2 linked regions of the Diceros bicornis minor genome follow. The protein of the gene in region 1 interacts with the protein of each later gene in a biochemical or structural test. Links are inferred from orthologs where the notes say so. Each region holds a gene or a part of one and is shown in the gene's direction. Other genes may lie near its edges.

The links.
Region 2: the proteins of NOTCH1 (region 1) and MAML1 form a complex in vitro, tested with the Homo sapiens proteins (2 studies listed by BioGRID). The link is inferred for Diceros bicornis minor from reciprocal best matches to the Homo sapiens genes NOTCH1 and MAML1.

What each region holds. Positions count from the first base shown.
Region 1 is NC_080767.1:42,288,644-42,298,240, forward strand, and holds the start of NOTCH1 (neurogenic locus notch homolog protein 1), read left to right. Parts: upstream 1-5,158; 5' UTR 5,159-5,380; coding exon 5,381-5,441; intron 5,442-7,157; coding exon 7,158-7,239; intron 7,240-9,597. UniProt on the Homo sapiens protein: Functions as a receptor for membrane-bound ligands Jagged-1 (JAG1), Jagged-2 (JAG2) and Delta-1 (DLL1) to regulate cell-fate determination.
Region 2 is NC_080740.1:92,683,508-92,693,571, forward strand, and holds the start of MAML1 (mastermind-like protein 1), read left to right. Parts: upstream 1-6,122; 5' UTR 6,123-6,915; coding exon 6,916-7,224; intron 7,225-10,064. Other genes in the region: CANX (calnexin), read left to right, coding at 1-47, 159-238, 2,492-2,545. UniProt on the Homo sapiens protein: Acts as a transcriptional coactivator for NOTCH proteins. Has been shown to amplify NOTCH-induced transcription of HES1. Enhances phosphorylation and proteolytic turnover of the NOTCH intracellular domain in the nucleus through interaction with CDK8.

The sequences.
Region 1 (9,597 bases):
TCCTTAAAATGGGCATGGTGGCAGCTTCCCTGTCGAGGCCTCAGTCCCCTTGGCCAGCCCCTGCCTGGAGGTGTCAGCTCTGAGCTCCGATAGCCTTCTCTGCGCCCACCTCTCTGATGTCCCTCCTCCATGCAGCCCTCTGATTTTGGCAGGGCCGGCCTGCTTCTCAGCAGCCCCTGCAATCACACAGGATGCCCTGGAGTCCCAGGCCTGCCCTTTCCTCCTCCGAGGCTGCCTGTCTCCCTGGTGTGCCCAGAGGAGAGCCACTGAGCCTCAAGGGGCCCAACCCAGGCCCAGCTCAGCCCAGGCTCTGTGGGCAGCTGAGGGGATCTGGCGGCCTGGAGAGGTCCGAGAGGGGCCCCTCCTTCTCAGGGCTTGGGAGACAGTGTCCAGGGCCACCCACCCCTGGGGTCTGTGCTCTGAGCAGCCCAGGGCCTGCTGGGGAGAGGCAGGTGAACTCAGCCCTGAGCTGCCAGGAAAAGACAGGCAGGTGGTCTCTGTAAGAGCCTGCACTGCCCTGGGTGCCCCAAAGCCCATTTCTCAAATGACAAGTACCAGATCGGCCTCAGGGGCCAGTCCTGCAGCCCTCGGAGCCCATACCACCCAAGATAGACAGCTCACCTGCTCCGGGAGGCAGGCTGCCTGTCAGGGGACTTGCCCGGGCAACATGCTCCCCAGCCTCTGTGCCTGCCTCTAGGATGCAGACCCTCCTTCCTGGGCCCCCGGGGGCAGCAGGGGGGCTCACAACCAACTGGTGCCCTGGCCCCAAGCTGCCGAGAGGCCTCAGGGCTCCCAAGTAGTGACTGCTGTGGGTGGCAGGTGGACAGGAACCCCCGCAGGGCGGGGCCCTGTGCAGAGTCCTGCATTCACTGCGCCTGCCGTTAGTCAAGGGTCAGTCTGCATCAGTGGGGGGCACCTGCATCTGGGATCGCACATCCCCCTGGAATGCCAGAGATGGATGCAGGGAGCGGGGAAGCCCAAGGGCTCTGGAATGGCTTTCTGGAGGAGGGAGGGGTCATTTCAGCAGAGGACAAGACGTGCAGAGCAGAGAACTGACCTGATGCAGCCTGCCTGGGGTGCAGGGCACAAGGGGTCTTCCCCGGTAAGGCCTGGTGAAGCTGGCCGGGGGAGATGCCCAGCACCTGCAGGTGACCCCGCCAGCCCGCTCCCAGTGCAGACAGCTGGGTGCACACCTGGGCCTGGGGACAGTGGATCCCTGCGTGGAGGGTGAGGGGCAGGCAGAGAAGCAAACTCTAGACCCCAGTCTACCCCCTCCTTTCTCAGAACGAGGGGGAAGCCCTCCAAGGTGGGCCGGAATCCATCCTTAGGAAAGAGCAGCGAGGAGCTAGTGGGCACCCCCCATGCCCCACATGGAGACACGCTGCTCACAGCCAAGCGTCCAGCACCGGAGCCTGGGGAGCCAGCCCTGGCCTGTCCACCCGCAGCAATGAATGCCACACAGCTGCTAAAACCACGTCCTGGAGAAGTGCGCAAACCTCTAGGAGAAGTTGGTTTTCCATGGAAAAAGGCAGGCAGGACTTTAGAACTCACTTGGTGGAGGGAGAAACTGAGGCCCAGGGGGCAGTGATGGTCTCTCGATGGGCCAGCCGGTCAGAGCTCAGTGGTGGGCCTGGCTGTGGTGGACAAGGGGCAAGATAAGAGGCTGGACACTTCTCAGGCCCCCAGGCCCTCTCTTTGTAAGAAGGTCAGATATGTTTTACAATCAACTTCCAAAGGGGGATGGGCCCTACCCCTTGTGTTCTGGAATCTTCCCACAGCTGCCCCCACCAGCACCGGCACCTCCCACTGAGGTCAGGCCTGTGCACCCATCACAGGCCCCCCACACCCTCAGCTCAGCTTCTAAGCCCTTCCCCCAGACAACCCCCCTGAGGGGTGTTTGGGGCCACTGTAGCCCACACCAAGCAGGCCTGTGCCTGTACCCTAAGTCTGACCTGCTGCCCCCACGTTGTGAACAATACTTGACAGCAGGGAGGGCAGCCCTGTCATGTATGCCCAGCCCTGTCACGTACAGAGACAGCCCACCACACCCTTCCGGGGGGCCCACCTGCCTGCTGAAGACTAGGGCCCCAACCTGGCCTGACTCCAAGCCAGTCTCATTTCAATGTCTCAGAAAAATCGCGAGAATGATGCCACCCCACCCTGGGCTCAGGGGTCACAGGGGTGCACCTGAAGCACCAAGACCGTCACTGCAGGAAGGAAAGTGACCGGTACCCCAGGACCTGGATTCTCAGCCCTGGCTGCACCTGAGGACCCTGGGGAGCCTCAACACGCTGACCACCCCCTGCGCCATGCAGACCACGTCACTGCTGACCCCTTCCCCTCTCAGGAGGGGGCTGGGATGGGTTTTCTTGTGGGGGCAGGAATGGGCCAATGACAGCACGGTCCCCTCAGTCTACCCTGATGCTGGCACCCCGGTATCTCTGGAGGCAGGAGAGAGGGGAGCTGCCCTGACTCGGTCTGCCCGGGGCGCAGACGGAACATGATGGCCTTCTCCCCTTCAGGGCCCAGCAAGCTGGCCCAGGGGAGCTTGAGGTGGCCCCTGGAGAAGAAAGTGGCAGTAAGTCACCCCCTGCAAGTCAGGCCTGCAGCTTCCCCCCACTGGTTCCAGGTTCCCCAGGCAGCTTGGGGCATCTCCACTCAGCAGGGGACTGCCCTGCGAACCTCGTCTGGACCCCCACCCTAAGCCAGGAGAGGAGGCCCAAAATGTCTTCACACTGCTGTGCCCCAATTCCACTTCATGGCGTCCCAGCCCCTGCCCCCCACGGGATTTGTGGGGTGGCCAGGCCACATGCACCTCCTCTTCCTGTCTCTCCTTCACTTCTGCAACTGCTCCCAGGCTGTGCCCCATGGGAGAGGGTCTCCAGGTCCTAGGCCATCAGGACTCCCCTCCCTCCCCTCCCTCAACCTCCCCCCCGCCACCCCGGAAGGTTGATAAAGAAGGACGAGAAGGGGAGGCAGGAAATCTCTGGCCGAATTTGTGAATGAAAAAGCTTCCCAACCACTTGCCATGGTCCAGTCTGCCCCCTTCCCAGAACTGGAGGGGAGGGAGGCCCAGCCCAGGACCGTCCTGGGCCTCACACACAAGCCCTCCCCAGCCCCAGCCACTTCTGGCTTTCCTGGGGTCTCCTCGGCCCCTGTTGCCCAGGGGGTACCCCAGGTGGCCAGGGGCACAGGAGTTGGAGGCCTGTGTGTCTGCTTGCCCCGTCTGTAGCACAGGCTAATAACGAGAGCGCCCGGCTCCTGGGGGGACACCAGAGTAGAGCTGGTACACTGGGCAGACCCAGGTAAGACTGCCCTCCTCCCTCTCCCCCTCCTCTATTGCTGCTCCTTGGCAGAAGGGTGAGAACTTCCTCCAAAGCCAGGGCTGGACGGGCCTTTACGTCTGGCCTGGGGCCTATTGGCAGAGACAGAGGGCTCTAACGGAGGGCACATAGGGAGCCGCTCTCTGAGGAGCGCCCTGCCTAAGGCCTTCGGTCCATCCCTTGAAGTAGAGGGGGATGTGGCTCACAGAGCCAGCATCTGTGAGCTGGCGGAGGGGGGGCAGGGGAGGGACTTTGAAGCACCCCTCTTCCTTCTACGGAAAATCTGCTCCTTCAGGCTGCAGGGCTGCTGTTATATAAACATCTTTGCTGCCTCCAGGCGCCTCCTCTCCCGGGCACTGACCCCGAGAGAAGTTAGCCCAGGCTCTGAGAAGTGCCGCCAGCTTCTGGGACGAGGCAGCGAGGGAGGCTCCCAGGAGCAGCTGCCGCGGCCTGGACTGCCTGTGCTCACAACAGCATCTCAGCTGCCACTAGCGTCCAGCAACAGGTGTGCCAAGAAGGGCGGGCTGGGGTCAGGTGTGCAATCTGCCCACCACGAGGCACCCCACTCTTGCCCGCCTCTCTGGACCTCCATGGCAAGGACTGCTTCTCTGCCCGCCTCTGGGATTTCTGCAGTCCTGTGGGTGCTTGTGCCCCATGCCCTTCACCCAGCTAAGTCCCTTGCAGCCTTTAAGGCTCCCCTCTGGCATCACCTACTCCAGGAAGGCCACCAGGATGCCAGGGCTGGGTGGGTGTACCTTCTGCCATCCCGCTCACCACCCTGTGTTGGGATGGTGGGGGGCTGTCTGTCTCCAGTGCAAGGCCCTGAACTTTGATTTCGTAGGGACTATGGCAGGCGTTTTGGACGTCCAGAGCTTAACCTGGCTTGGCACAGGATGCCCAAATCTGGTACTGCGGCGGAGAAACAAATCACCTGGAAGGAGCACTTGGGGGGGCCCTGGGCAGCACCGGCGCTCGCGGCGGGTCTACCTGACCAGCGCGCGCTTTGCGGGGCACGTTAGGCGGGAGGCGCCAGAAGGGGCACGATAGTGACCAAGGAGCATCTAGAGGCAGGTCCCTCCTGAGGAGCGGGTGCGCAATCCGTCCGGCCAGGTGTTGGCTCCAAGCTGTTCCTTGGGGTACCCAGAGCCCCTTTCCAGAGGCTGCGGCTGCAGCGCCACCATATCTCAGGTCAAGTGCCCGGGACGTCACAGCCAGGGGTGTCTGGCCTCGGTCTCCCGGAGGCTTAAAGCTGCGACCGTGGGGCTCCTGGCAGTGGAGCCCCTGGGCGAGGGGCGCACCCACGGCTGCCGAGGGCGGGGCTGCTTCCAGAGCCCCTCTCCTGAGCCCGGGGTCCCCCCAAACTTGGCCTCGGTCGCTCCTCCCCACCTCCCTGGGCCCAGGTCCCGGTGGCGCACGGCCCCCCACAGGCTCTCCTTTCCCCACTCCGCCCGCGCCTCTTCTGCTATTGAGATGCAAATCTTTGCTATTGTCGCCGGACGCGGCAGCAGCCAGAGCCGGATCCTTCCGCAGTCTCGGACCAAACTTTTGGCCCCTGAAAACTTTCCAACAAGAAGTAGTCCCCAAGGCCGGCCCCCGAAGCCCTCCGCACCGCCGCGGCCCCCAACGCCGGAGGACCCGGGCTCCGGACGCGCGCCCCAGCCCGAAGAGGCGCAGGGCTGGTCGGAGCGTGCGGAGGGGCGCGGCCAGCGAAAGGGCGAGGGGTGCGGAGGGATCGGCGGGGGCGGGGCCCCGGGAGGCGGGGCCGGCGGGGCGGGGGCGGAGCGCACGGCCGCCTGCGCCTCACTAGTGCCTCGGCCGCGGGAGGGAGTGCAGGGGCGTGGGGCGCGGGCGCGAGCGCAGCGAAAGAACGAGTCGGGGCGTGGAGCCGGGCCCGGAGGCCGCGAGAGCACAGCGCCGCCCGCCAGCTAGGAAGGAGAGGGCAGTAGCAGGCAGCTGCCGCCCGTGAGACCGTCCGGCGCGCGCGTGTGTGCGCCCGAGCCTCGCCGGCCCGGCGCAGGAGGCCGCCACCGGGCGCAGCGGGCAGCCGGCGGGCAGGCATGCCGCCACTCCTGGCGCCCCTGCTCTGCCTGGCGCTGCTGCCTGCGCTCGCCGCACGAGGTAGGCGCCCGTGCGCCCGCGAACCCGCAACTTTCCGCGCCTTCGGAAACTTTGGCGGCGCCCTACGCGCGCGCTCCGGGTGGCTGGGAACAGGCGGCCAGGGTGGGGAGGGGGGCCGGGCGCCCCGGAGCGGGGGAAGGGGGTACAGAGTCCCGGGCTGGGAGAGAAGGACTGACCCTCCTCCGCGCCGCCTGCCCTGCCGGGGCGGACTCGCGCTGCCCGCGCCTGGAGCCGGGTTTGAAGCCCGGCGTGGGAGGCTGGGGGCCCCGGAGGCCCAGCCCTGGGCTCGCCCTTCACCAGCCGCTCCTGGGGCTCGCCGCCGGGGCGGGCGGGCGAACTGCCTACTATTTTTCGATTTGAATCGAGTCGGTTTTGGTTTCCTGTTGCTTTGGGGGCCATTTATCTTTTTTCTTCGCCTCTGGCCCGCGCCGGGAGCGGATGTTGGGGCGCGCAGTGTGGGGTCCGGGGCGCTGCGTTCGCGGCCTGGCGTGGTTGCTGAGCAAGGTGGGCAGCGGGGCGCGAGGCGGGCCCGGCCTCCTGCCCGTTCCGAGAGATCGCGCAGGGCTGGTCGAGGGGCGCGAACCCAGGGATCCCTGGGCTCCTAGCCGCCCCGCCCGCCGGTGTCCCCCACACGCCGGATGGCCGCCCCCTATCCTGGCTTGCAGACAGTTTGCGGGGGAGTGCGGGGGTGCGGAAGACTCCGCTGCAACTGGTGGGACTTTCACTTTGTCGAGTTCAAGTTTGGAAATCTTACAGAAGTGGAGAGTGGGACTTGGCAAGGGGGCGCGTATTCCTCTCTCCACTTCCCGTCGAAGGGGGCTGCGAGGAATCTAGTGTGATTAATTTTTCTCTTTCCTTAAAATGTTGGAGGTGAGAATTAGTTTCCCATTTCCAGAAGGTAGGGTTCTATGTCACACCCGGTCCCTGCCCCGGTGAGGGGCTTAATTTACACAGCCCTGGTAAGATGGGGAGGAGGGGCTTGATTAATTGATCCTTTCTTGGGGATGGGGTCGAATTCCTTCCAAATGGGGCGTTTTCATCCCCCTCCCCTGGGTGTGGCAGAGGGCTGCCCCTAAAGATGCCTGCCCGCAGGAGCAGGTATTGGGTGTCTGTGCAGGCAGGGCCAGGTCCCCAGGGTGCAGTCCTGGTGCCCCAGGAGGCGGCCCTGGCATGACAATGGGCTGCTCTGATTCCCCGGCCAGCGCTTTGTTGGCGGGCGGGGCGGCCGGCCTTGCAGCTGTCGCATTTTCCCACGAGCGGGGGAGCTGAGTGTGGCCACCCCCCCCCAGCACTGCCCCCTCGCAGAACGTGTTTGAACAGCAAGACAATCCCGGTGGCTGGATAGGGGCCCCAGCCCAGCCCAGCTCCCCAGTGAAGACGGGGTGGGGGGGCGCGGAGTTTGGGAGAATGGCCCAGGATCATCTCAGCTTTTCTCCACTGCTGTCCAGGGGGCATTTCAGGCCACCTCACCCCATTTTGAGCATGACCCGTCTACCTGCCACCCAGCCAGCCTGTTCCTCCTCTGCAGTCCATTTCTGACTACAGAACTCTGGGCAGAGTATTGAAGCCTTGGGGTTCAGGCCGGGGCTTCCTGGGGCCCCGGGGCCCAAGCAACCCCAGGACAGGGCAGAGCCTGCATGGTGAGGGGTGGGCGGTGCCCTGGGGGTGGGCCCTTCCCGGAGCTGAGGGCTGACCTCTCCTCTCGCCCCTCCCCAGGCCTGCAATGCTCCCACCCCGGCGAGAGCTGCTTGAATGGCGGGAAGTGTGAAGTGCTTGCCAACGGCACTGAAGCCTGCGTGTGAGTACGCCCCTGCGGGGACCTGTTGCTTTTGTCGGGAGCAGAGCCCCTGCCTTCTGTGGCGGCCGGCAGGGACAGAACACTAGGCCATTGTCTTCTGGAGATGGCCCAGAAGGCTGGGCGCAGTCACGTGCTACTTTTATTGGACAAAGTCTGGCAATTACTTAATCACCAGCAATTATGCTGCGTGTGGAGCTGGTCTGGCCACTGGAGGTTTGAGCACTTTTTTGTGGGCCCCCTTGGGCTCCTGGGGGGCTAGGTGAGAATTCCTGGTAACCCATTTCTTCCTAAGTCCCTGAGAAACAACTGAGCTGCCAGGAAGGCTCTGGAGCATTTGTAGAGGAGCCCAGCCCCCACCACCCTGCCAGCTGGGGAGCATCTCTCCATCTCTCTTGGGCAGGTGAGCTTCTCCCCCGGGCAAGTGATGCCTCCTCCGGGCAGGTGAGCATCTCCCCCGGGCAAGTGATGCCTCCTCCGGGCAGGTGAGCATCTTCCCCAGGCAGATGAGCATCTCCCCCTGGCAGGTGATGCCTCCCCCGGGCAGATGAGCATCTCCCCCTGGCAGGTGATGCCTCCTCCGGGCAGGTGAGCATCTTCCCCAGGCAGATGAGCATCTCCCCCTGGCAGGTGATGCCTCCCCCGGGCAGATGAGCATCTCCCCCTGGCAGGTGATGCCTCCTCCGGGCAGGTGAGCATCTCCCCCGGGCAGGTGAGCATCTCCCCCCCCCCCCGGGCAGGTGATGCCTCCTCCAGGCAGGTGAGCCTCTCCTCCGGCAGGTGATGCCTCTTCCAGGCAGGCAATGCTTCTTAGCAAGGAATTAGCTGTTTCAAAGTCAAACCCACCCTTCTCAGCGCTCTGCCTTCCCCAGCTCACTCCCCTCTGGCCTCAGGTGAGGTTGGGGAGAAAAGTTGGAACTCGTCTTGTTGGTGGCGCTGACCTCCCTGGGTTGTGGGGATGGGAGTACCTGCCAGAACTTTGTTTCCCGTCCTGGCATCTGCACCTCCAACTCCCTAACCACCTGGCCCTTCACCCTCCCAGCCTTGGGTCTTCAGCTGTGAAAAGGGGGGTGCGTGCCTGGTTCGCCCTGACTCGGGCAGGGAATCGGTTTAGAATCGCTGCCCACCTGCCCGTGAGTACCAGTCAGCCTCAGGGAAGTTTTTCTGCTGTGCCTGGTGCCCTTCAACTTGAGTTTGTTCCTGATGGGAATAATGAGGAGGTGCTTGGTGGCTGGAGAAAGGTCCCCCCCTCCCCCCGGCCCCGGAGGCTGCAGAGGAAGAAGTGGCTCCCCAGCCGGGTCGGCGCGCCCTCATTCCAACTGCTGAGGGCCCATTCCCTTGACAACCCCCAGCCCAGGCTCATTGCCTGCCCAGCCAGCGGGCAAGCAACCCCCTCCTTCTGCTGCCCCCCACCCCTACCCCACACTGAAGCCAATTAAGCAGGTCTGTGAGCAGTTTAGTGGACAAAGCGGATTGTGTCTTTGTGAAACACTAATGAATGCACACTACTTTTTTTTTTTTTTTTTGCGTTTTTGGGGCCTTTTTCTTCTCCTGCAGAAGCCTCACCGACGCTTGATGCCCTAAATCTTGTTTCCTTTCATTCAGAGACCGACAGCTGGGATTCAGTGGAAGTGCAGTGGCTATTGTTGGGGGAGGCGGATTAATGCTGTCTGATTAATTATGCGTGGCTTCCCAGAATGCATGACTCCCTTCCCCACCCGCCACGGCGCACTCCAGCTCCGACGTTGCCCCTCGCCCCTGGGGGGCAGGTGAGAGTCTCCATGCTTCTGCAGAGGCTGTGGGAGGCAGGAAGGAGAGCTGTGCTGGGGCAAGAGGGAGCAGTCCCTTCTCAGTGCCACCAGGGAGGAAGGACAGCCTGGCCCAGAGGACGCTGGGGTCTCCCTGGGCCAAAGCCCGCACTACATGCCACCTGGGCCAGAAAGGGGATGCCTTGGGGTACAGGCTGTTGCAGGGCCCCCCCGGCCCAGCGTCAGGGTAAGGCCCTTCAGGGGGACAGAGCAATGGTTCAGTGTGCTCTCCCACCCCCAAAACCTGGGCTACTTGAGGGTTCTGCCAGGCCGTGGACCAGGGCTGGGGTGCCGGCCTTGTCTCCTCCCTGGGGCCTGGTGCCCCCTCCTCCTTGGCGGGAAGCCTGCCTCAGTCTGGTCTGGCACTCAGCCGAGCTCGGCCCACAGAGACCCCATTGTGCACACCCCACAGATCCACTTGGAAGATGGAACGGAAGCGCAGTCCTCAGAGGCCCCACCTCTGGGCGGCACCGTGTGGGGGCTGGGGACCAGAGCAGGGACGGGCCCCAGCCAGGCCCGGCTGTGGAGAGGCTCGGGTCCCCACTCGCAGTAC
Region 2 (10,064 bases), on another chromosome or scaffold:
GGAAAAGGACAAGGGAGACGAGGAGGAGGAAGGTGAAGAGAAACTTGGTAAGAAGTAAACCCCAAAATATGTGTTTTAAGCCAAGACCCTAAGATGTTGTTTCAAACTCTTAAAAGCAGGTTCTTGCTTAGTTGTTTCACTTTGACTTTCTGTCTTAGAAGAGAAGCAAAAAAGTGATGCTGAAGACGATGGTGGCACAGTCAGTCAAGAGGAGGAAGATAGAAAACCTAAAGCAGAGGTAATAGAAAGGGGGGGAGTACATTTTGTATTTCAAGCAACTAAGTTGAAGGTACATTTAAGTAGAAGGAGTATTTTCTTAGGGTAATTTTCAGTGGCTGTGGTGGTAAAAATTCTATTAAAGCCAATTTTGTAAAAGTGGAATTCTTAGCAATACAGGTCAACATTTTATAGTTTCAAATTACATCTGAACCTCAGAAGTATTTTTGTGTGCTAAAAATGGTTTTCTGGAATAAGCAGAAGGTCATAGGGGAAAACTAATAAAATGCTTTTTAAGATGGGAACTTCAGATTATTAGTTTGCAGTTCTGTCTCATCATCTTTCTCTCCTCACTGTGCCCTTAAAAAGTATTTCTTGCACAAATCACTGCATTCTAAAATTTTTGTCCCTGTTGCTCGTGGATTCATTCATTCAGTAAATATTTGTGGAGAGCCCATTATGTGCCAAGCATTATCAGTGAACAAGACAAAGATGTCTTGCCTTTGAGGAGCTTAAATTCTAGTGGGAAGAAACAGACAATAAGCAGTAGATATTATAAGGAAGTAAGTAGTATGTTAGAAAGTGATGGGCCAGGAATAATAAAAGTAGGACGAGAAAAGGTATTGAAAGTGCTGGAGGTGGGGTGGGTTGCAATGTTAAAGATGGTAGGCCTCGGGGCCGGCCCCGTGGCTCAGTGGTTAAGTTCGGTGCACTCCACTTTGGTGGCCCAGGTTCGGTTTCTGGGCACGGACCTACACTACTCCAGCGACCCACATACAAAATAGAGGAAGATAGCCACAGATGTTAGCTCAGGGGGAATCTTCCTCAGCAAAAAGGAAAAAAAAAGATGGTAGGCCTCACTGAGTAGGTGACATTTGAGCAAAGACTTGAAAGAGATAAAGGTAGAGATGCCTATGGGAAGAGCATTCCTGGCAGAGAAAACAGCCAGTCCAGGGGCCTAAAGTGGTAGTCTAGAGGGCCAGTGTGGCGGCTGGCCCGGTGGCGCAGTGGTTAAGTGTGCGCTCCGCTGAGGCAGCCCGAGAGTTCGCAGGTTTGGATCCCCGGCGCGCACCGACACACTGCTTGTCAAGCCGTGCTGTGGCAGGCGTCCCATCTAAAGTAGAGGAAGATGGGCACGGATGTTAGCCCAGGGCCAATCTGTCTCAGCAAAAAGAGGAGGATTGGCATCGGATGTTACCTCAGGGCTGATCTTCCTCACACACACACACACACACACACAAACACACAAGATAGAGGGCCAGTGTGGCAGTAGAGCAAGAGGGTGGAGAAAAGGAGGGTGAGGAAGGCTCCAGATTAGGTGGGGCCTCCTGGGCTGTTATGGGCTTGGCTTTCCCTCTTAGTGAAGTCGGCAGCCCTTGCAGTGGTTGCACAGGAGTGGCTGGGTCTGATTACTCTGGCTGCTGTGTTTTCTATAGACCAGAGAGAATGAAGGAGACGAGCTAGGAGACTGCTATAATAATCCATGGTGGCCCTGAGCAGGGTGATAGGAGAGGAGGGTGTGAGAAGTCATTTTGGACTTCTGGATCTGGGGTTTCTGGTGGATTGGATATGAGGTATGAGAGAAAGAATAGTCTGCACCTTTCTCACCAACGTCCCTTTTTCAAGCACTTCTCTATTTCATTCTGTTCCTTCCTGGAAAACTACCCAGTTTGCATTTCCAGCTACCACAACTCTGCCCTCCTATTGATGAAAGTCAATGCTGTTTATATTTTCAATGGATATATTTTGTCTTAACCAGAACGCAGAGTTCTTTCAGGTAGGGGCCAGTCTCACATACTTTTTTATATTCCCCAAAATTGCTTGCACAATAAGAAGTCGATATGTAGAGTAGAAAGAGCACTGGGCTTGTGGTCTTGAGTGTTCTATGGGATTCGGCTTAGTCTTCAGTCCCCATGAATCCTAGCTTTCTCAGCCTCAAAATGGGGGTGATGTGCCCACAGGCCAGTAGATTATTCAGGATTAAGGAGGATATGTGAAAGCATGGTGTCTGGTCGTTTTTAAAGAAAATGTTTATGGGTTAGATTGAGAAAAGTGCATGTTTATGGAAAACAAAAAAGACTAAATTAGAACACACATAATCCCACTACCTCTGAGACAATCATTGGTTTTGGTGCATTTTCTTCTAATCATTTTTCTTCTCGTTTTCTTCCTCAGATGGCTTACCCTCAGCCTGGCTGATCTTGACAAGTTGGTGAACTTTTACTTTTTTTTAACATGCTAATTATAGTGAATTTCTTGTTTTTTCAACCAACAGGAGGATGAAATTTTGAACAGATCACCAAGAAACAGAAAGCCACGAAGAGAGTGAAACAATCTTAAGAACTTGATCTGTGATTTCCTCTCCCCCTCCCCAGCCCCCCGCAAGTGTGGTCCCAGGAGAGGACCTGGCACACCTTAGGTTGAAATTCAGAAATCCTCTAGACGTCAACCATCAACAGGTTCCAGTTGAACACTAGCCCCTGTAATTTTAAACATCTAGCAGTAAATAATTGCAGTTGTGACATAAAGGACCCTGTTTTTGTAGAAAGAAAGCATCTAACATAATGGTTGTGAAATGTAACATGAGGCAACTAACATGTATTTTTTTGTTTTTAAACATCTTTGTTTTTAAGATAGAGTGATAGAACTTTGCCAGTGTTTAAAATCTTGGCTTAATTTAATATATTAATTTGTCCTTGCAGAAATAACACCACCTTTAGAAATGCTAGGGAGATGAAATTGCAGTTTTTATAACTGGTTTTGTTTTTTTAAGTTTGGTATTACAAAACATTCAAGTGTCTCTGTCCCTTAAAATCGATAATCATGTTTAAAGTGCCATCACTTGCGGTTATAATCTTGTTTTGCTTGCTTCCGTTACTCAATTCCTCCTAAAGAAATTGAGGAGAGGGATTGGATGGAAGCCCAAATTTATATAGAAGTTCTGTTTAAGTTGTATTAAAAATAGATATACAAAGAGAAAAAATCTTTTCACTTGATGTTGGTTAGACCATAAAGTGTGTGTGTTCTGTTGCCCTTGGAACCGCTGAGTTCCCAGACGGCTTTGCAATTAGAGGAGGAGGTGGCATAATGTGGCACTTGGGCATTCATACTTCACACCCCGGGCGTGTCTGGGCTCCAGCCTTCTCGAGCAGGTGGCTCTATAAGGAACGCTACTGGGGCCTGTGAGCCCCAGAGATGCAGATGTTTCATTGCTTCTTCCACTGTGTTGACACTGTTTTCCTTCCCTATTTCCTCAAGTTTCCAGCTTTCTCCTCTGCTATGCGTTTTCTTCACAGCGCAGCTTGCAGTCCATTGCTGAAAATGATTATAAGCTCTGCATAGTATTAAGCTTTATTGTGATTGTGTGTATATTTCTTCTTTTTTAAGCAGACCCACACCTTTTCAGGGTCAAAGTACAGGATAAAATACTATCTTTCATTTGTATCCATTTCTTTTACTCTGTGTAAAGACTTTAGAAGTCTAATCCAGAGGCGAGCCAATTCAGAATTGACTAATTGAACCCAGGCTAAAAGTATTTATGGGAGGAGTGACATATAGCATGAGTTATCTGATTTTTGTAGCTGCTAAGCCTTTTAAGTCTTCATTTGCAGTTCATGTAGCACTTGCATCTAAAATTACATGATAAAGCAGTCCTGTTCAAAAAGAAACTTTTTTTTTATCTGCTTTGTAGAATTTTTAAAAAGTGATCTTAGGTTTGTTTTTTCATGTGGAATGCAGATGGGTGCTATCAGAGCCTCTCCCCCATCGCTCTAGTGTAATATCATTATTACACCACACTGAAATGTATTCAGAATTAGATGTTGTTTTAGCTTTATTCTTTCTTTAGAAGTGTTTCAAATGTACCGATCATACTGTTCCTTGCACTGAATATATAAACACTCCAGAGTGTTTATATTGGGGAGATATTGGGGAGGAAGTATATTCATAAAACATGAAGGCTGTATCTGTTTATTTTGTTTATCTTCAGTTTTTTACTGGTTCACTTAAATTCTTATGAGGGTGGGATGCATTTTTCTTGCTGTTCAGTGCTTTCTCCTTTTCATCTGTTCTGTGGTCACAGTGACCTTAGCTATGTAGCACACTTTCCCAAATGTATTGAGTGCAAATAAACAGTTACTTAGCAAGACCTGAAAATATGTCTGCAGGTTTCTCCTTGAAGCAAATGTGTGGGATCATTGCATTTCCAGAAATCTGCCGTCTTCACTCTTTGTTGCCATTATTTCATGCCTCACTTACAGTTTCTTCCAGCTGAGCTATGGAATGACAAATGTAAATCAGTAGAGTGTTCATTTGCCTTTCCAGGGTGGTTTAGCAAAGTTTGTCCAAAAAAAAAAAAAAAACTTGGTTCTCTTTTTTGCTCTCTTTGTTGAAGGTGCAGCTTTCTCATTAAATGTTTTACACATTAGTGAATGACCAGCAGCAATTTTCAGCTCTTTAATAGGTACTTACATTATGATTTTACATGCTGGTTATCTGTCCCATTGTTGTAAAACGCCCACTCTATCAGATGTGTTCCTCAGTTACTCTTATCCACAAAATACTCTTCTCTTTTCTCAAATTGTCATGTTACTAAATGGTGTTACATTAAAGCCCTGCGTTAAGCGTCTGCTTTTGACTGAACTTCTTCATGGTAACCTTCAATTAGCTTGTTTTACTGTTTCAAAAGTGGGTTAATGTTCCTACTAGTTGAGAGTTTGCTAATATGCAGAAACTACAGCCCTCCCTTGGTATCTGCAGGGTTTGGTTCCAGGCCCCTCCCCAATACCAAAATCCGTGGATGCTCAAGTCAGTATCCCTGGATGCAGAACTCGAGCTTAAGGAGGGCCAACAGTATTATCAGCAGTGGAATAATTACTACATCTCAGCACATGCATTTGATCCAATCAGTTCAGTATAGGTTTGCCTCCTTTTCCTGCTCAATTAGGGTTCAATAGTTTCTGTTTTTTAAGAGGGTAGCAGCTCAGAAAGGGAGTTTGTAAATAATATTCTTTAAGATTTTTGGGAACCATTGAACTTTTAAATTTTTATTTGAAAATCTTTGTTCAGAATCAGAGTCCGTCTTTTACATGTTCTTACATATTTCAGGGATGTTTTTGAGAGTTAGGCCAAAACTAATTTTTTTCTGCGTTACTAGGCTTTTGGATTGCCTACTGAAGAGAAATATACAAAATATAGTGCTCCTAGTTACTATTTTGTTTCCTATTGGAAAAGAAATTATTTAATGCTGGTGTCAAATTTGTATGTTTGAAGACTGGTAAAAAGCAGGACCACATAGCATTCACGAACTCGAGGCAAATTTTGCCTTGGTGCGCCGCTTGTATTTTTTTACTGCATTTGTGTAAAGACACTATTTGAATAAGAACTCATTTTTTTCTTCTGATTTTAAAATAAACATTTTCGTGGGTCCTAGTAAAAACTGTAACAAATGTGAGAGCTGTTGATGGTGCCTCTCATGTGCATCCTCCTGACACCTTGTGTTTTAACTTTTTAGCAATTAGGGTGCCAATACCTACCTGTTCCTAGTATCTCTTGGGCCAACGCAGACTATCTAGTTTTAGTACTACCTCTTTCTTTGCTCCTGTTTTTTCCCTTACAGTGTCCTACTCCCTTTGCCTACTAGTTATAAATACTAGAGGTTAATTGTCTTTGGTTGGATTTTGTTGAGTGACTCAATTTTACCTAACAGATCGGTCATCTTTTACATGTAAAGCTTGCAGTCCAGGCTTCCCGTTTTTGACTGGCGCATCATCCTTTGCAGTTCTAGTCCTCACTAATGGAGCTAGGCTTTCCACACCCTCCTCCCTCACGTCTGCTGGGGCTTTTTTTTTTTTTTTTAAAGTAATTCTAAATTTTTGAAACTTGTTCAAACTTTTATGTAAATGGAAATAGTCCCAGTGATTCAGAATGGTGCAAGAGGAAAGGTCTTCCAGTTCACTTATTCTGACCCATTACGAGGCTGGGTGTAAGGAATGAGGTCGAAGAAAAGCAGCTGACATTGAAGAGCGTGGCTACTTTTGAGCTTAGCAAAGCCGAATTCAAGAGGCTGCCGAAGAAAATGGTGAAGCGCTGTGCTTTCAGGCGGGCGTCTGCGTCCAGCCGGTTCCACCGCGCCGACTGTCCGGCTTTCCTTGGACCCGGAAGGGCCTGCCCGCGGGGGCGGCGTTTAGGACCTGCTCGGGTCGGTCATCCTCGGCCCGACGCCCAGAATTGAGGCCCGCCCAGGGCTTCCCTCCGCCCCTCTCTTGAGGGTTCCTTTTAAACTGCGCTCGGGAGCCCCCGCGCCTCTTGCGTGCTCGGCGCCGTCCCTCGGCGGCCCGCTTTTCTCCTCTGATTGGCCGCAGTCCCTGCTCGTCAGCCGTGACGCAAGGATCGCCGCCGGGCCCCGCCCTCTTCCGAGAGCCCCGAAAACAATTTTAAGATGGCGGCGGCGGCGGCGCGGAAAACAATGGGGCCGGGGCGGCGGGGACAGGCCGCGGCCTGAGGTAGGCAGCGAGCGCCGGCCCGGGTAGGGCCGAGCGGGGCCGCAGGAAGACCCGCTACCGCGCGCTATCCCGCTCCGCAGCCCGCGGGGCCATGGCGCGGCCGTGAGGCGGCCGGGCCGCCGGCGGGAGCGGAGCCCGCAGTGCCAGCCGGCCCCGAGAGGCCCGCCCCGGGCCCGGCCCGAGCAGCCCGCGGCCCATGGTGCTGCCCACCTGCCCCATGGCGGAGTTCGCGCTGCCGCGGCACAGCGCGGTCATGGAGCGCCTCCGCCGGCGCATCGAGCTGTGCCGGCGCCACCACAGCACCTGCGAGGCCCGCTACGAGGCCGTGTCGCCCGAGCGCTTGGAGCTCGAGCGCCAGCACACCTTCGCCCTGCACCAGCGCTGCATCCAGGCCAAGGCCAAGCGCGCCGGCAAGCACCGGCAGCCGCCCGCCCCGGCCCCGGCGCCCGCCCCGGCCCCGCGCCTCGACGCCGCCGACGGCCCAGAGCACGGCCGCCCCGTCGCGGTGAGTAGGGCGCGCGAGCAGCCCCTTCCCGGCGCTGCCCCGCCGCCGCGAGACTCAGCGCCCGCCGCTCCTGCGCCGGGCTCGGGGGAGCTGCCCGGGCGGGCCGGAGCGGTTGTCATCTGCGGGGAGGGCGCGGTGGGAGGACGGGACGTTGAGGCCTCGGCTGGGAAGGCTGGTGAACGGTAGTGGAAAGGTTTTTCTTCCAGACTTGATTCCGAAATTTTGGGAACTTTACTTTGGAGCAGAGTTGCCTGGATAGTGGCCTCGTTTATTCTGCAAAGGTTTGTTGGGTCCTTGCTCTTTGCAGGGTCGGGGCTTACGTGTGGGAATAAGTCGGCCTTCAGTTGACCACATCAAACTGTTGTGAATAGAAAAATCCAAAAATCTTCAGAAAACTTAGTAAAAGGCATAGTACTGCTCGTTAAATTGTATAGGAGTATTACTTGTTTAGGCAACCCTGAAATTTGTGAACTTGTGATTCCAACGATATTGTTGATAATTCCAGTTTTAATCTATAAAGCTGTTTAAAATCTCTGATGGTATTAGAGAGTTTGTTGGTAAATTATTAAGCCCTTTGGGTTCCCAGTAGATATTCGGGAGATTTGTTGGTTAGAGGTTTTCCTCCCTGAAACTGACTTATAAAAGGGAGACCGTAAAGTTTTTTTTGTCGTTGTTTTCTTGGTAATTACATTTTAAAGCGAATGTTACCAGTCTAATTTCTTCTGTGCATTTCTAATTCATGCCTTTCTTCCTTCTCACCTGGGCTGTCGCGGAACACTTTCCTAAGTAGTCCCTAGGCGCTCAGTCTCTTTCTTTTTCCTCTCTCGGTGCTATGTCGCCCACGGGTCCTGTGCTGTGGTTGAATTTTCCTTATTCTCTCCCACACTGGCCTGGGCTGCTGGACATTTCATTGCTTATTGTATCAACTAGTCAAGTCGTCTTGTTCTCACTTTTCTCGTCTGTAAACTGAGGATGTGTTTGGCTTCTTATCCACAAGGATTCTTACAAGAAATGAATGTGGATGTGAAAATATTTCATAAACAGAAAGGCTGCCTGCAGGACCTTCCTCCCCACCTTTCTGAATCCTGCCATTCTTAGGTTCAGCTCATCGTCCTCTCTAAAGCAAGCGTCTGACCACCCTAGCCCACAGCAATCAGAATCTCCTTTGTCAAATATTTAGGAAATATATTGTCTGTGCTATTTATTTTTAGCACATAGTCACATACTAGTTTAGGTCATGTCTTGCCAACTAGACTGTAAACCCTGGGAGACAGGGAGGGGTTCTGCTCAGAGTCCCATACACATCTCAGGGCCTCAGCACGCGTTTGTTGAGTGATTGATATTAAGCTTGGTAGTACTTTTCCTCAGTCATGGGTCCTCCTATGAGCTAACCTCATGAGCCGCCTTTACTAACAACTCTTGTTTCAAGGGAAGACTTTAAGAGTAGTGGCTGGGGGCGGGCCCCGTGGCTTAGCAGTTAATTGCGCGCGCTCCGCCACTCTCGGGTTCGGATCCCGGGCGAGCACCAACACACTGCTTGTCCACCCATGCTGAGGCGGCATCCCACGTACAGCAACTAGAAGGATGTGCAACTATGACATACAACTATCTACTGGGGCCTTGGGGAGAAAAAGGGAAAAAAAGGAGGAGGATTGGCAATAGATGTTAGCTCAGGGCAGGTCTTTCTCAGCAAAAAGAGGAGGACTGGCATGGATGTTAGCTCAGGGCTGAGCTTCCTCACAAAAAAAAAAAAGAGCAGTGGGTGGTCATTCCAATTTAAGTAAGTAATGAAAGCTCATAAAAATCTTAGTTTTACACACAGCTAGCTGCCTTGAACATCCCCTAGAAAGTATATTAGTAGTGATTGAATTTGTTTAAAGAGAGTAGGAGTTTAGAACCCTCTATGGTATTTTCAGTCCTGAATTAACTGGAGAGAAATTTGACATGCTGTTTGAAGGGAAATTCATTCTGAGTGTGTTAGAACTTGAGTCTGGCTTGTCAGTCATTCCTTTGGGTGTGAGAGCCTGATCAGATGTGCCATGTTATGTTGATGTCTTATCACATTAAACCTTGACCCGTGGATTTCATGAGTTTAAACTTTAGAGTGGAGGTGCTCTTCTGCCTCCCTACTGGGAAGAGGGACCCTTCACTTCAGTCTCCAAGTGATTCGAGCTGAGCTCTTTGGCCTTGGAATGGAGTCTTAGGAACAGAAGATCAGTGTCACTAAGAAAACAGTGGCATTTTCCGTTTTAGTGGCTCCTTCAGTTCAGAGAGAGAGTCCTTGCCTGGGTAGGATTTCTGCTTAGGGAGAGAGCAGAGCTGTGCACAGAGAGATGGAGGAGAGAAGGTGCCTCTTAGTCATTGTTATTTTTGAAAATTTTATATATATATTTCAACTAATTAATATTCCTTATGTAAGGAATACTATTAGTTATTTTTTTCCAAATGTGCTGTAGTACCATTAGGCAGTCGTTTCATAGCCAGAGTTACCATCAGCAAACCATTTGTACAACTGAAGAAGGATCAAATTTACTAATAGAGTTCACCTTCAGGTTATTTTTTCCCTTCTTACGATGTCCTACCACACAGAGTTGTTTTAACCACTGTCTGCTTACTCTGTTGAAGATGAATCAGAAACAGTGCTTCAGACTTTTTTCCTATTCTAGTCGTCAAGGAATGACCTTATTAGGTTTTCTTTGTACTGTGTGCTCTTTAAAAACCAAATGGTAGTTTTCTGATGACAGTTAGGATTGACTTCTTTTTATTAGGAATGCTAGATTATGGAGAATTACCCACTCACTTTATACAGACTGTAATGAAAATAGTCTGTAATGAAAATA